Oryctolagus cuniculus: one gene and its partners. The protein of the gene in region 1 purifies or fractionates together with the protein of each later gene. This does not show direct contact. Links are inferred from orthologs where the notes say so. Each region holds a gene or a part of one and is shown on either strand. Other genes may lie near its edges.

The links.
Region 2: the proteins of ESYT1 (region 1) and SYNJ2BP purify together in Homo sapiens (affinity purification with mass spectrometry; 4 studies listed by BioGRID and IntAct, with this or other methods). This does not show direct contact. The link is inferred for Oryctolagus cuniculus from reciprocal best matches to the Homo sapiens genes ESYT1 and SYNJ2BP.
Region 3: the proteins of ESYT1 (region 1) and ATL3 purify together in Homo sapiens (affinity purification with mass spectrometry; 3 studies listed by BioGRID and IntAct, with this or other methods). This does not show direct contact. The link is inferred for Oryctolagus cuniculus from reciprocal best matches to the Homo sapiens genes ESYT1 and ATL3.

What each region holds. Positions count from the first base shown.
Region 1 is NC_091442.1:58,936,541-58,940,186, forward strand, and holds part of ESYT1 (extended synaptotagmin-1), read left to right. Parts: intron 1-463; exon of another isoform or gene 464-702; intron 703-994; coding exon 995-1,144; intron 1,145-1,467; coding exon 1,468-1,623; intron 1,624-1,717; coding exon 1,718-1,894; intron 1,895-2,037; coding exon 2,038-2,120; intron 2,121-2,213; coding exon 2,214-2,262; intron 2,263-2,353; coding exon 2,354-2,443; intron 2,444-2,563; coding exon 2,564-2,659; intron 2,660-2,914; coding exon 2,915-2,986; intron 2,987-3,072; coding exon 3,073-3,159; intron 3,160-3,646. UniProt on the Homo sapiens protein: Binds calcium (via the C2 domains) and translocates to sites of contact between the endoplasmic reticulum and the cell membrane in response to increased cytosolic calcium levels.
Region 2 is NC_091451.1:16,186,420-16,190,845, reverse strand, and holds the start of SYNJ2BP (synaptojanin-2-binding protein), read left to right. Parts: upstream 1-1,583; 5' UTR 1,584-1,706; coding exon 1,707-1,770; intron 1,771-4,426. UniProt on the Homo sapiens protein: Regulates endocytosis of activin type 2 receptor kinases through the Ral/RALBP1-dependent pathway and may be involved in suppression of activin-induced signal transduction.
Region 3 is NC_091432.1:7,549,310-7,552,955, forward strand, and holds part of ATL3 (atlastin-3), read left to right. Parts: intron 1-505; coding exon 506-577; intron 578-2,506; coding exon 2,507-2,938; intron 2,939-3,646. UniProt on the Homo sapiens protein: Atlastin-3 (ATL3) is a membrane-anchored GTPase that mediates the GTP-dependent fusion of endoplasmic reticulum (ER) membranes, maintaining the continuous ER network. It facilitates the formation of three-way junctions where ER tubules intersect.

The DNA of each region.
Region 1 (3,646 bases):
AAATTGTTAAAAATCATCATCGAACAGTTACATCTTGATCAGTGCGAGTCAGGTAACTAGTACAGCACAGAAGGTGCACAGGCTGGAGAAGTGGATTTGGTAAAAGAAGTCAGATTGTAACTGGGCCTAGAAGGGTAAATAGGACTTTTTTTTAGATTGAGCTATTTTTAAAGGATTTATTTAATTATCTATTTGAAAGGCAGAACATCAGGGAGAAAGATCTTCCATCCACTGGTTCACTCCCCAGATGCCTGCCACAAGGCTGGGCCAGGCTGAAGCCAGGAGCCTGGAACCCATTTGGGTCTCCCACTTGAGCTATAGGGGCCCAAACCCATAGGGCCACATCCACTAAGCTGGATTAGAGTGGAATAGCTGGGGCTTGAACTGGCACTTGATATACTGATACTGCAAGCAGAAAGCATAACCCAGTGGACCACAATACCAGCCCCAGGAATAAGTAGGCTTTTTTTTTTTTTTTTTTAATTTATTTATTTGGAAGTCAGAGAGGCAGAAAGAGAGAGTAAGGTCTTCCATCTGCTGGTTCACTCCCCAAATGGCCACAATGGTTAGTTGGAGCTGAGCTGATCCGAAGCCAGGTGCCTGGAGCCTGGAGCTTCTTCTGGGTCTTCCACATGGATGCAGGGCAACAAGGACTAAGGCCATCTTCCGCTGCCTTCCCAGGTACATTAGCAGGGAGCTGAACTGGAAATGGAGCAGCCAGGATTCAACCCGGCACCCATATGGGATACTGGCACTGTAGGTGGTGGCTTTACCCACTACACCGCAGCACCAGCCCCATAAGTAGGCTTTAAGTAGGAAGAGACAAACTTTTCAAGTATGGGAACAGAATGAGAGAAGGTGGAGGGGACCATGGAGTGGGCAGAGGACTGTCAACAGACCAGAGCAAGTAGAGCACCTGTGTGATGGAGAGGGACGGAGCAGGAGCCAGGTTACCACTTCCCCACCATGCCTCTCTTTCCTCCTGTGCCTATAGGTCAAGGATGACTCCAGGGCCCTGACTTTAGGGGCACTGACCCTGCCTCTGGCTCGCCTACTGACTGCCCCTGAACTCACGCTGGACCAGTGGTTCCAGCTCAGTGGCTCTGGCCTGAACTCCAGGATCTACATGAAACTGGTCATGAGGGTATGGAAATGCAGATACAGTGAGGGTGGGGGAAAGGCCCCTTGGGTTCCTTGGGATTAACTGGAAGGAGGGACAGCCCTCCAAGGTGAAATGAGCTAGTGTGTGTAGAAGCACCTAACAGACATGCGACAGTGTTCACTCGTCTGACTGCAGGAAGGAATGTGAGTGAGTCAGGGCGGGTGTGAGGGAACCTTCGAGAGTCTGGCCAAGGCAAGGGCCTGGCTTCCCTGTCAGAGCCTCTGCTCTGCTCCCAGCCCCGCCCGCCCTGCCTGCTAGTGGCTAGCTGCATTCCTTTGATTCCAAGACCGCACTACCCTTCCCAGATCTTATACTTGGATTCATCACAAATCTGCTTCCCCGCTGGGCCTGGCGCTCCTGGCTCTCAGGATGCAGACAGTGAGAGCCCCCAGACAGGCAGCAGTGTGGACACCCCCACTCGGCCCTGCCACACTACTCCCGACAGTCACTTTGGGACGGAGGTGAGTATCTGGAATGGACCGGGCCTGGTTCATGGTCCTGAGGTCTCTCTCTCCCTCTGACCACCATCTGGTGCCCCATCTGTCCCTTTCACAGAATGTGCTTCGGATCCACGTGTTGGAGGCCCAGGACCTGATCCCCAAAGACCGTTTCTTGGGAGGACTGGTGAAGGGCAAGTCTGATCCCTACGTCAAACTAAAGCTGGCGGGCCGAAGCTTCCGGAGCCGTGTCGTTCGGGAAGATCTCAATCCCCGCTGGAATGAAGTTTTTGAGGTCTGAATTCAGGGGCTGGCACTCCTCTCAGGTCGGCCCATTTTCCCCCAGTTTCACAAGTGGTCCAAACACCTGTGGGGTTCCATGAACTGGGGGTCTGGTCACTGGGAGAGAAGGCAAGATGCCCCTTTTCCTCCCACTAGGTGATTGTCACATCGATTCCAGGCCAAGAGCTAGACGTTGAGGTCTTTGACAAGGACTTGGACAAGGATGACTTCCTGGGCAGGTGAGAAGACGGGCAGGCCTGCGGAGGCCATGGAGGCCGCTGGCCTTGGGGAGAGAAACGTTTGGTTCTGTTGTAACTGATTTTCCTCTGCAGGTGTAAAGTGAGTCTCACCACAGTCCTCAACACTGGCTTCCTTGACGAGGTGAGCAGCTATTCCTCTGATGTCCATCCAGGCCTCTTGCTCCTAGCTCCCCTGTCCCACACCCCGAACCTTCACCTGCCCACTTCCACAGTGGCTGACCCTGGAGGACGTCCCGTCCGGCCGCCTGCACTTGCGCCTGGAGCGTCTCACCCCCCGCCCCACTGCTGCTGAGTTGGAGGAGGTGAGGAAGGAGACTGGAGGGAGGAAGAGAGGGAGCCGAAGTGGGCCAGGGTGAGCTCCTCACTCAGCTCGAGGCACACACCAGGCCCCACTCCCCAGCCTCCCGCCGTGTCCTGCCCAGGTGTTGCAGGTGAACAGCTTGATACAGACTCAGAAGAGCGGCGAGCTGGCAGCAGCCCTGCTGTCTGTGTACCTGGAGCGGGCGGAGGACCTGCCGGTGAGATCTTCCCCAGGCCCACATCTCCCTGGCCCTTCTTCTACCTCCCTTGGGTTTGGGAGCTCCTGGTGGGTTTGGAATAGTACACAGCCCCTCTCTTTCTGAGGTGGAGGTGGAGCTGGTGTGGGAAGAATTGTCTGTCCAAGGCCACAAGAGGAGTGGCTATCCAGTGATGATGGGGCCGTGGCCATTTGTGAAGGGAGATCCGCCTAGCAAGGTCCAAGTTTGACGACTAACACCATGTTCCTTTCCCAGCTCCGAAAAGGGACGAAGCCTCCCAGCCCTTATGCTACCCTCACTGTGGGAGACGTTTCTCATAAAACCAAGGTAGCAGGGGATGCTGCAGGGCGAGTGGGAAGGCTAGGGAAGAAGGGGGAGAGTACCCACCGCTGATCCTAACCCCTTCCCACCAGACCGTGGCCCAGACTGCAGCTCCTGTTTGGGACGAGACTGCCTCCTTCCTCATCAAGAAGCCACATGCCGAGAGCCTGGAGTTGCAGGTACCCCCCTTTCCAAGTACGTCCTCTATCCCTGCCGTGGGCAAGGCCCTGAACCAGACACGGGGCATCGGGAGAGAAGACCGGCACTCAGCTCTAGGGAGCTCACACTGTGTTTTGGGAGGAAGGTAACCAGAGATCACTCTCAGAACGACAGATACAGTGAAAGGCACTGTGGCAGCAAAGGAAAGGGTCTAACAGACCTTAGAAACCTGGAAGTAGTAAGAAAGGCATCCTTGGGTGCTCTCTGGACTTTAAAGCCAGTAGGCTCTGACCAAGAAGAGAAGGACAGAAAAACTTCAGTCTAGGAACAGAATGGACTAGTGTGGTGGTGCAGTGGGTTAAAGCCACTGCTTGTGATACTCACATTCTAAATCTGAGTTCCAATTTGGGTGCTGGTTCCTCCATGTTTTTTGCTTGTTTGTTTGTTTGGATTTTTATTTATTTATTTATTTGAGAGGTAGAGTTACAGACAGTGATAGAGAGATGT
Region 2 (4,426 bases), on another chromosome or scaffold:
ACCTCAAGGGCACAGAACCATAAACAAAAAGACTAATTTAGTGTCACTTCTGCCAGTGGCCAATGGTCCCCAATATCCATTCTCCCATTTTTAGTTAATAATAACAACCCTAATTTTTTTTTAGTTAGCACATTTCCATCCCACTAAAACATGGCATATTCTATGTCTCTCTCATAGTTAAATATAATCATGTAATAGGCTTCTATTCAAGGAGATACAAGAAATATATGAAACTTCCAATAGGTTCTCTTTGCCATTTCATTCCCTTCTTGAAATGTGAATATGAAGGCTGAAGTTCCAAAAACCATCGTAACCATCTTGGGCCATGAAGTAAAGGCCACACTCTAAGGATGAGAACTGAAGGGGTTATAGAAAGATGAAAGGAATCTGATTCCTTGGTGACTGAGGAGCTCCTCTATTAGCCTTTGACCATCCATCTCTAGTTCTTTACTGTGAATGAAGTACACTTCCATCTTAGCCTAATACATATAGAATTAAGTGTGTATCACTGCTCTAATCTTCCATCCTTAGCCTATTTTTCCCAGTAGCATCAATTTGTAGACTTTGCCCCACTCTCTATTCCTTAAATTTGAATGTTTATGTATATATATATATATCTTCCTTTTAAAAAATAAAAGATTTATTTATTTGAAAGGCAGAGTTACACAGAGAGAGTGAGAGGTCTTCCATCCGCTGGTTCACTGCCCAAATGTCCACAACAGCCAGAGCTGGGCCAATCCAAAGCCTGGAGCCAGTAGCTTCTTCCAGGTCTCCCACACAGGTGCAGTACCACTGGGTACTGCTTTCCCAGGCCACACCAGAGAGCTGGAACTTGAAGTAATGCCCATATAGAATGAGGACACTGCAGGCGGCCACTTTACCCATCAGGACACAGCACCAGCCCCTTAAATTTCTTAAAATTAAATAAGGCTTTTGTCAGCAACAATCCAGGAATCTTTTACTTAAGGTCCTGGGAACCATCTCTTCCCAATGTTAATATCAGGGAAAACAGTGCTCCTATCTCCTCTTACTATGGAAGTTAACCCAAGTGGTTTACACTAATCTTTACGCAACAGCTTGTCATACAGAGAGCAAAGTATTACTTTTCCTTTGCTAACCTGTATTAACTAACACAGAAGGCCACCCCAAAGGTGAACCATCAGAGAGTGGATAACAAATGGTGTTGTCAAGTCCTCTATGTAAGGACAAGCATGTTATGGTTTGTACCTACTTGGCTTATACGAGATTTTTCATTTTGGCAATCTCATCAATGGATTGCCTGTAACGTCCATCCCAGTCTAGTTTGATGCTCACAGAATAACAAAATTTTCTTTTCTATATTTGTGGAAATTTTGAGATGCCAAGATTCCTTTTAGATTTTTCCTCAGCAATATCAATTTCTTTACGTCCACTACCTTAACTAGCCTCCCTCCACCCCAACCTTACTTTTCCCAAGTACTTTCGCCGGTCAATAACTTGCGGCTTGCTGACCTCACAGTTTTCTCGGAACACTCAACGAGAGAACACAACCGATCGGCTGTGAGAACCACGACTCCCAGCATTCCGAGCGCTCTGAGCGCGGCGCACTTCCTCTTCCGGCCCGGAGGCTGCGCGAACCGGAAGTGCTGTTCTTAGACCGCAGCGCGGAGATTGATTCACCTTCACCTGGGCAGAGCCCCAGCTGAACCGAATAGGAGCGGTAAAACATGAACGGAAGAGTGGATTACTTAATCACCGAGGAAGAAATCAATCTTACTAGAGGACCCTCAGGTATGTGCGGAGCGGGCTGTCTTTGGGAGTAGGGGACTTGAGGTGTGCCTTTGCAGAGCAGACCCTCTTTTTGTTGCGCCGGATTCACCTGGCCTCAGAGTAGGCAGGCCCCAACGTAGGAGGTTAGGAATGTTGAAAGAATATATTGATATCCATCATTGGCTAGATGACGGGTCGGATTACAACACGTATTTCTAATCTGGAAAGATTTCTTTTTGCTCATGGTGCTAGAGAAGCCTAGAATAAAACCCGCTGTTTAGCCAGCATTCCGTGGACACACTCTTCCTTCTATTACCTGGTCTCTCCTTGTTCCTTGGAGGATCGTTTAGCCAAATTGGGAACGTAAACTATGTGACCGCTATATTCAAAAAGCTGTACCTATGGAATTTGTATTTATTAAATAAAACGATTCTTAAAAAAACAAAAAAAAACAATGTGAACTCTAAATAAATGCACAGATGTTCTGGTGCCAGGATTCCTTCCTCATTTCTGAGAAATTAGTATATAGTGTCAACTAGACTGTTAAAGCAGGAAGACGCTTTAGAGATCTGTTACAGGAGTTTCCAAACTTGGTTCTGCTACAAAACTATCCAGGCTTTGTTTTTGTTTTTGCTTTTTTATGCTAGTATAAAATTAGAATGCTGATTTCTAGTTCTCATTTCTAGAGATTTGGATTCAATACGAATTTGTTTTTAACAACTTACATGATTCTGATACAGTCAGATCCTTACACCTTCTGTACTCCCCCCTCCCCCAGATATTCCTTCCCTAGACTGAGCTGTTGACATTGCTACTCACTGCCTGCCTTGGACTTGGTTGGCTTTTTTTTTTTTAGCAGTTGTTGAGTTTATTAAGAGCTTTAACCATGGAATTGTACTATCTAGGCACAAAGCTTGTTATCTAACCGCTTACTGGTTCTTTGGTGTATTTTTTTCCACTGAGTGACATTGGTGCCTTAGTTGCTCATCTGTTAATTGGAGGTGATTATAGAATACAATATATAGTTTTTGAGAATGAAATTAATTAATTGATAAAACATCTAAATATATTTGTAAAATAATTAGAGCATTGTCTGACACACAGTAAGCAGTATGTATTTGCTACTACTGTTATTTTTATTGGGTGAATGGCTAGATTTGCATGGTAAATGTTATTGAAAAAGACCCTGTAGAAATCATAAGCCCCATGTGCTCCATCTAAAAATGTTTCTAAAATCCTTTTTTCTGTTCCCAGTGCCACTATCTATAATAGTTAATCACTTTTCTCATCTGGAATTTTGCAGTAGCTTAATCACCACTGACAGATTATCCTTTATAAAATATGACTTGCAGAACTACCTATATTTTGTGTCTTTCTTTTTGTTATATAAAATTGGAAGCTGGTCTTATGGAAATATAATTAAGCAGAGTAACTAAGCCCCTTGGATTCTTTCTTCCTATTTTATAAAATTTTTTTATTTCTCTTACTCAATACTTACCGACTTTAAAGCTAATATGGAAAGCTAGTTTTCAACCAGAATCTGTTTTTCTGTACCTTTCTGCCACTGGTAATTGTTTTTCATATAAGGCTAATTAAAACTGTGCTAGTTCCTTTTCTGATTGCCCTGCACTTATTTTCCCTTGCTTCTACTTTGCCTGGTCTTCCTTTAGCCTAAATATCTTGTTGTAACATTACTTTTTGTGATATTTGAGTTTGGGTTCTTGATTCTTGCTTAAGAATTTAATGTACTTGGCAGTGACATCTGCATCATTTCTAGAATCTCCCAACTAGAGCTGAGCAGAATCTTATTCTGGGCACTAAATAATTTAAATTCAGTATAATATCACTAAATCATTTTTGGCATTTGCAAAGCAGTGTTGCCTAATATTTAGTTCACCATTCACCACAACTTCTGAGTCTGTTTGTCTTGCAGATATAAAGTTCCTAGTGTTTGTATTTTTCAGAAGCATTGGAGTTAGGGCAAACTTCATGGGATTAATTAAAAGAAATTCTATCTAGCTAATATATTGCAACCAAAAGTGGATTAGTTTTTGTATTGTATGTGAGTTTATCCACAGGGTGGTTTCTTGAATTTTCCTAAACATTTTCATGTCTTAGTCACAGAGCCAGGGAACTTATGAGGAGGGTCAAACCACAACTTTAGGATTGAATATGGATAAAAACAGTTATTTGCAATTTGGTTTGTTCTATTAGCAAGGAAAGGTTTCAAGTTCCTATTTATTTCTAGAATTGGTATACTGGTATGTGATACTCTTGGTCTCAGATCTAATTCAGCTTTTCTTCATAGTGTTGTCATGAAGATAAACCACGAAGAAGTCAATAATCATCGTTAGAGTCCTCTATGTAATTTTTGTAATTCCATCGGGATCTTTCTTTCTATAGGAAGAATATGAAAAGTCTCTAACTACGTATACATTTTTTACAGTGAGCAGCATGGTTATTTGTCTTTATACAGCTTCCTACCCTAAGACCTCATCATTTAATGAAGGTAACTACAAGAAAGTGTGTACTGCTCTGCTTTTGTGCCAGTGATCTGGGATATTTCCACTGTTTATGCCCATTTTGCAAGGCAAATTAATCTGTTCCATCTAATCCTCCTTACTACAAGGAAAATTAGAACAATGAAATGAGTGTCTGAGATGGCACAAGGAAATTT
Region 3 (3,646 bases), on another chromosome or scaffold:
CAGTTCTTTAACGTGTTTGACTAGACACTGTCATCTGGTTAACGCAGATAATCTCTGACTTTCTTATGACGAGCATAAGCACACTCATTGCCAAATGTCAGTTCCTTTAGTAGCAAAGCATTTTCACACAGGAGACGAGTGCCTGGGACTCACATTTCAAAGACGAAAATGTTCCTTTTTTTTTTTTTTTTTTTTTTTTTTTTTGATTCACAGCTATTTCTTACATTTAAAACCAGAGACAAGGAAATGCTATTTCCCTAGATTTTTAGAGGTTTATCCTGTGTTAACGAGTCTTACATATTAAAGAACAGATTTTAATTTGGTTGAAAATCTGGCAGAAAAGATATATTTTGTTTCATAAATTGAGCTATGTGAAAGTCTAAAAAGTAGCAGAAGGTTAACGAGAAAGGAAGAATGGAAGTGGGGTGAGAGATTTGTACTTGGGTATTTGTGGAGCATGTTCAAAGAGGAAGGGTTTATAGCTCACGCCTTCCTTTCCTAACAGGCCACTGCTGAAGCCAACAACTTAGCGGCGGCAGCCGCTGCCAAGGACGTGTATTACAACAACATGGAAGAGGTATGTGGGCAGGTGCCTGATCCTGAGGTGTCGCGATACCTGACCATGCGGCTGTCTTCCGAGGCCCAAACTTGATCTGACTTGACACTGCAGGGGGGCTGGTATTGTGGCACAGCGGGTTAAACCATCACTTGTGATGCCTGTTCGAGTCCAAGCTGCTTGGCTTCCAATCCAGCTGCTTGCTAATGCACCCAGGAAAGCAGCGGAAGATGCCCCAAGTACTTGGGCGCCTGCACCCACATGGGAGACCTGGATGGAGTTCTGGGTTCCTGGCTTTGGCCTTGCCCCAGCCCTGGCTCTTGCATTCATCTGGGGGAGTGAACCAGCAGATGAAAGAGCACTCTCTCTCTCTCTCTGTCTTTTCTCTCTCTCTAACTCTGCCTGTCAAATAAATAAATAAATAAGTATATATTTTTATTTGACAGGTAGAGTTGCAGACAGAGGGAGAGACAGAGAGAAAGGTCTTCCTTCTGTTGGTTCACCCCCCAAATGGCCGCTATAGCCGGTGTGTTGCACTGATCCGAAGCCAGGAGCCAGGTGCTTCCTCCTGGTCTCCCATACAGGTGCGGGGGCCCAAGCACTTGGGCCATCCTCCACTGCCTTTCCAGGCCACAGCAGAGAGCTGGGCTGGAAGAGGAGCAACCGACACTAGAACCCGGGGCCCATATGGGATGCCGGCGCTGCAGGCGGAGGATTAACCAAGTGAGCCACGGCGCTAAAAAAATAATTTTTTAAAAAAGTTATGAGGCAGCAAAGCTGTATTCAGGCCATTGTGATAACCAGGTCCTTCTGATCACCATTTCGTTTCTTTTTTTTAAAAATATATGTGTTTTACTTATTCTTTTTTATTTAAGGTATACAGGTTACATGTATTTGGTGTACACCAGTTTAGGAGTGTGGTGATGCTTCCCACGCTCCCACCCTTCCTCCTCCTTCCTCTCCTCATCCTCCTCTTTAATTTTTACAGTGATCTACTTTGAGTTTATTTTACACTCATGAGATTAACCCTACACTAAGTAAAGAGTTCAAGAAATAATAATAATTAAAAAAACACTGTTCAGGGCTGTAAACAGTCATCGAAGCTCAAAACGTCGATTTCACTCTTCTGATGGTCATTTCTTTCCGTTTCCGGGCCACGCTGAGCTCCTCACTCTGCTTACCCAAGTGCGCTCTGCAGAGGAGTGAGACCAGACTTCACTGGTCTCCGTCACCTTCTGAGAGTTAACTGACGCTTGCCGCAGCAGCTCAGTTGTGAGTGTGTCACCCACCTTTCCTAGCAGAGTGCTGGCTGGAGTGCTGGCTGCTCTGCTCCCATCCAGCTTCCTGCTGCTGTGCCCCTGGGAGGCAGCAGGTGGATGGCCCGAGTGCCTGGGTCCCTGCCACCCACATGGGAGACCTGGTTGGACAGTTCTGGGCTCCTGGCTTCAGTCTGGCCCAGCCCTGTTTGTCGTGAGCATTTGGGAGTGAACCAGAGAAGAAAGATCTCTCTTTGTCTTTCAAACAAAATGAAAATAAACAGTGAAAAAGTTTTTTTTTTTTTTTTTTTTTAAGATGTATTCATTTATTTGAAAGAGTTACAGAGAGGCAGAGGCAGAGAGAGGAGCTGGGCCGATCCGAAGCCAGGAACCAGGAGCCTCTTCTAGGTCTCCCACGTGGATGCAGGGGCCCAAGTACGTGGGCCACCTTCTACTGCTTTCCCAGGCCACAGCAGAGAGCTGGATGGGAAGTGGAGCAGCTGGGACTTGAACTGGTGCCTAATGGGATGCCGGCACTGCAGGCAGCAGCTTTACCTGCTACGCCACAGTGCCGGCCCCGAAGTGAACACAGTGATAAGAGATTAACGTCTGATACTTAAAGCCTTGTAACCTTTGAGAGTCTTCACCTGTTTTTGAAGGGACCTTCGCCATGCCGTGTCTCTGTTGCCTGCAGGTTTGTGGGGGCGAGAAGCCTTACCTGTCCCCTGACATTCTAGAGGAGAAGCACAGTGAGTTCAGACAGCTCGCTCTGGACCACTTCAGGAAGACCAAGAAGATGGGCGGGAAGGACTTCAGCCTGCGCTACCAGCAGGAGCTGGAGGAGGAGATCGGGGAGCTGTACGGCAGCTTCTGCAGGCACAACAGCAGCAAGAACGTCTTCAGCACCTTCCGCACGCCCGCCGTGCTCTTCGCGGGCATCGTGGCCCTCTACATCGCCTCGGGCCTCACCGGCTTCGTGGGCCTCGAGGTCGTGGCCCAGCTGTTCAACTGCATGGTCGGGCTGCTGCTGATAGCGCTGCTCACCTGGGGCTACATCCGGTACTCCGGCCAGTACCGCGAGCTGGGCGGAGCTATCGATGTGGGTGCGGCCTATGTGTTGGAGCAGGTGAGTGGTGTGGGGTGATGGTGGGCGGCCGGGTCAGCTTCTGTCGTGAAACATCTCGGAGTTTGGTAGCAAAGAGGGCATGAGAAACCTCCCTGGGCCGTTTTTAAACTTCCTTGGCTTTAGTCTGTTATCCTCTTTGGGATAGGAGTAGTTATTCCTGATGTTTTGTTTCCATGACTTAAAGTGGGCCTTTAGTATATAAAAAGTTTCAAATTAGAGTAGGGTGTCCCTCACAGGAAACCTATGGGTGCTTTTTTTTTTTTTTTAAAGATTTATGTATTTATTTGAAAGTCACAGTTACACAGAGAGAAAAGGACAGGCAGAGAGAGAGAGGCCTTCCATCCGCTGGTTCACTCCTCAGATGGCCACTATGGCCAGAGCTGGGCCAGTCTGAAGCCAGGAGCCAGGAGCTTCTTCCAGGTCTCCCACGCAGGTTCAGGGGCCCAAGCACTTGGACCATCTTCCACTGCTTTCCCAGGCCACAGCAGAGAGCTGGATCGGAAGTGGAGCAGCCAGGACTTGAACCGGCACCCAAATGGGATGCAGGCACTGCAGGCAGCGGCTTTACCTGCCACGCTACAGTGCTGGCCCTGTGCGTGCTCTTTAGACACAATTCCTGTGTGATTCGGCCTTCTCCTCTCCATGATCTTGCTTTGCTGAAAATCAAGAGTCCTGAAAAAAATATGAACTCAACAAGAGATGACATCT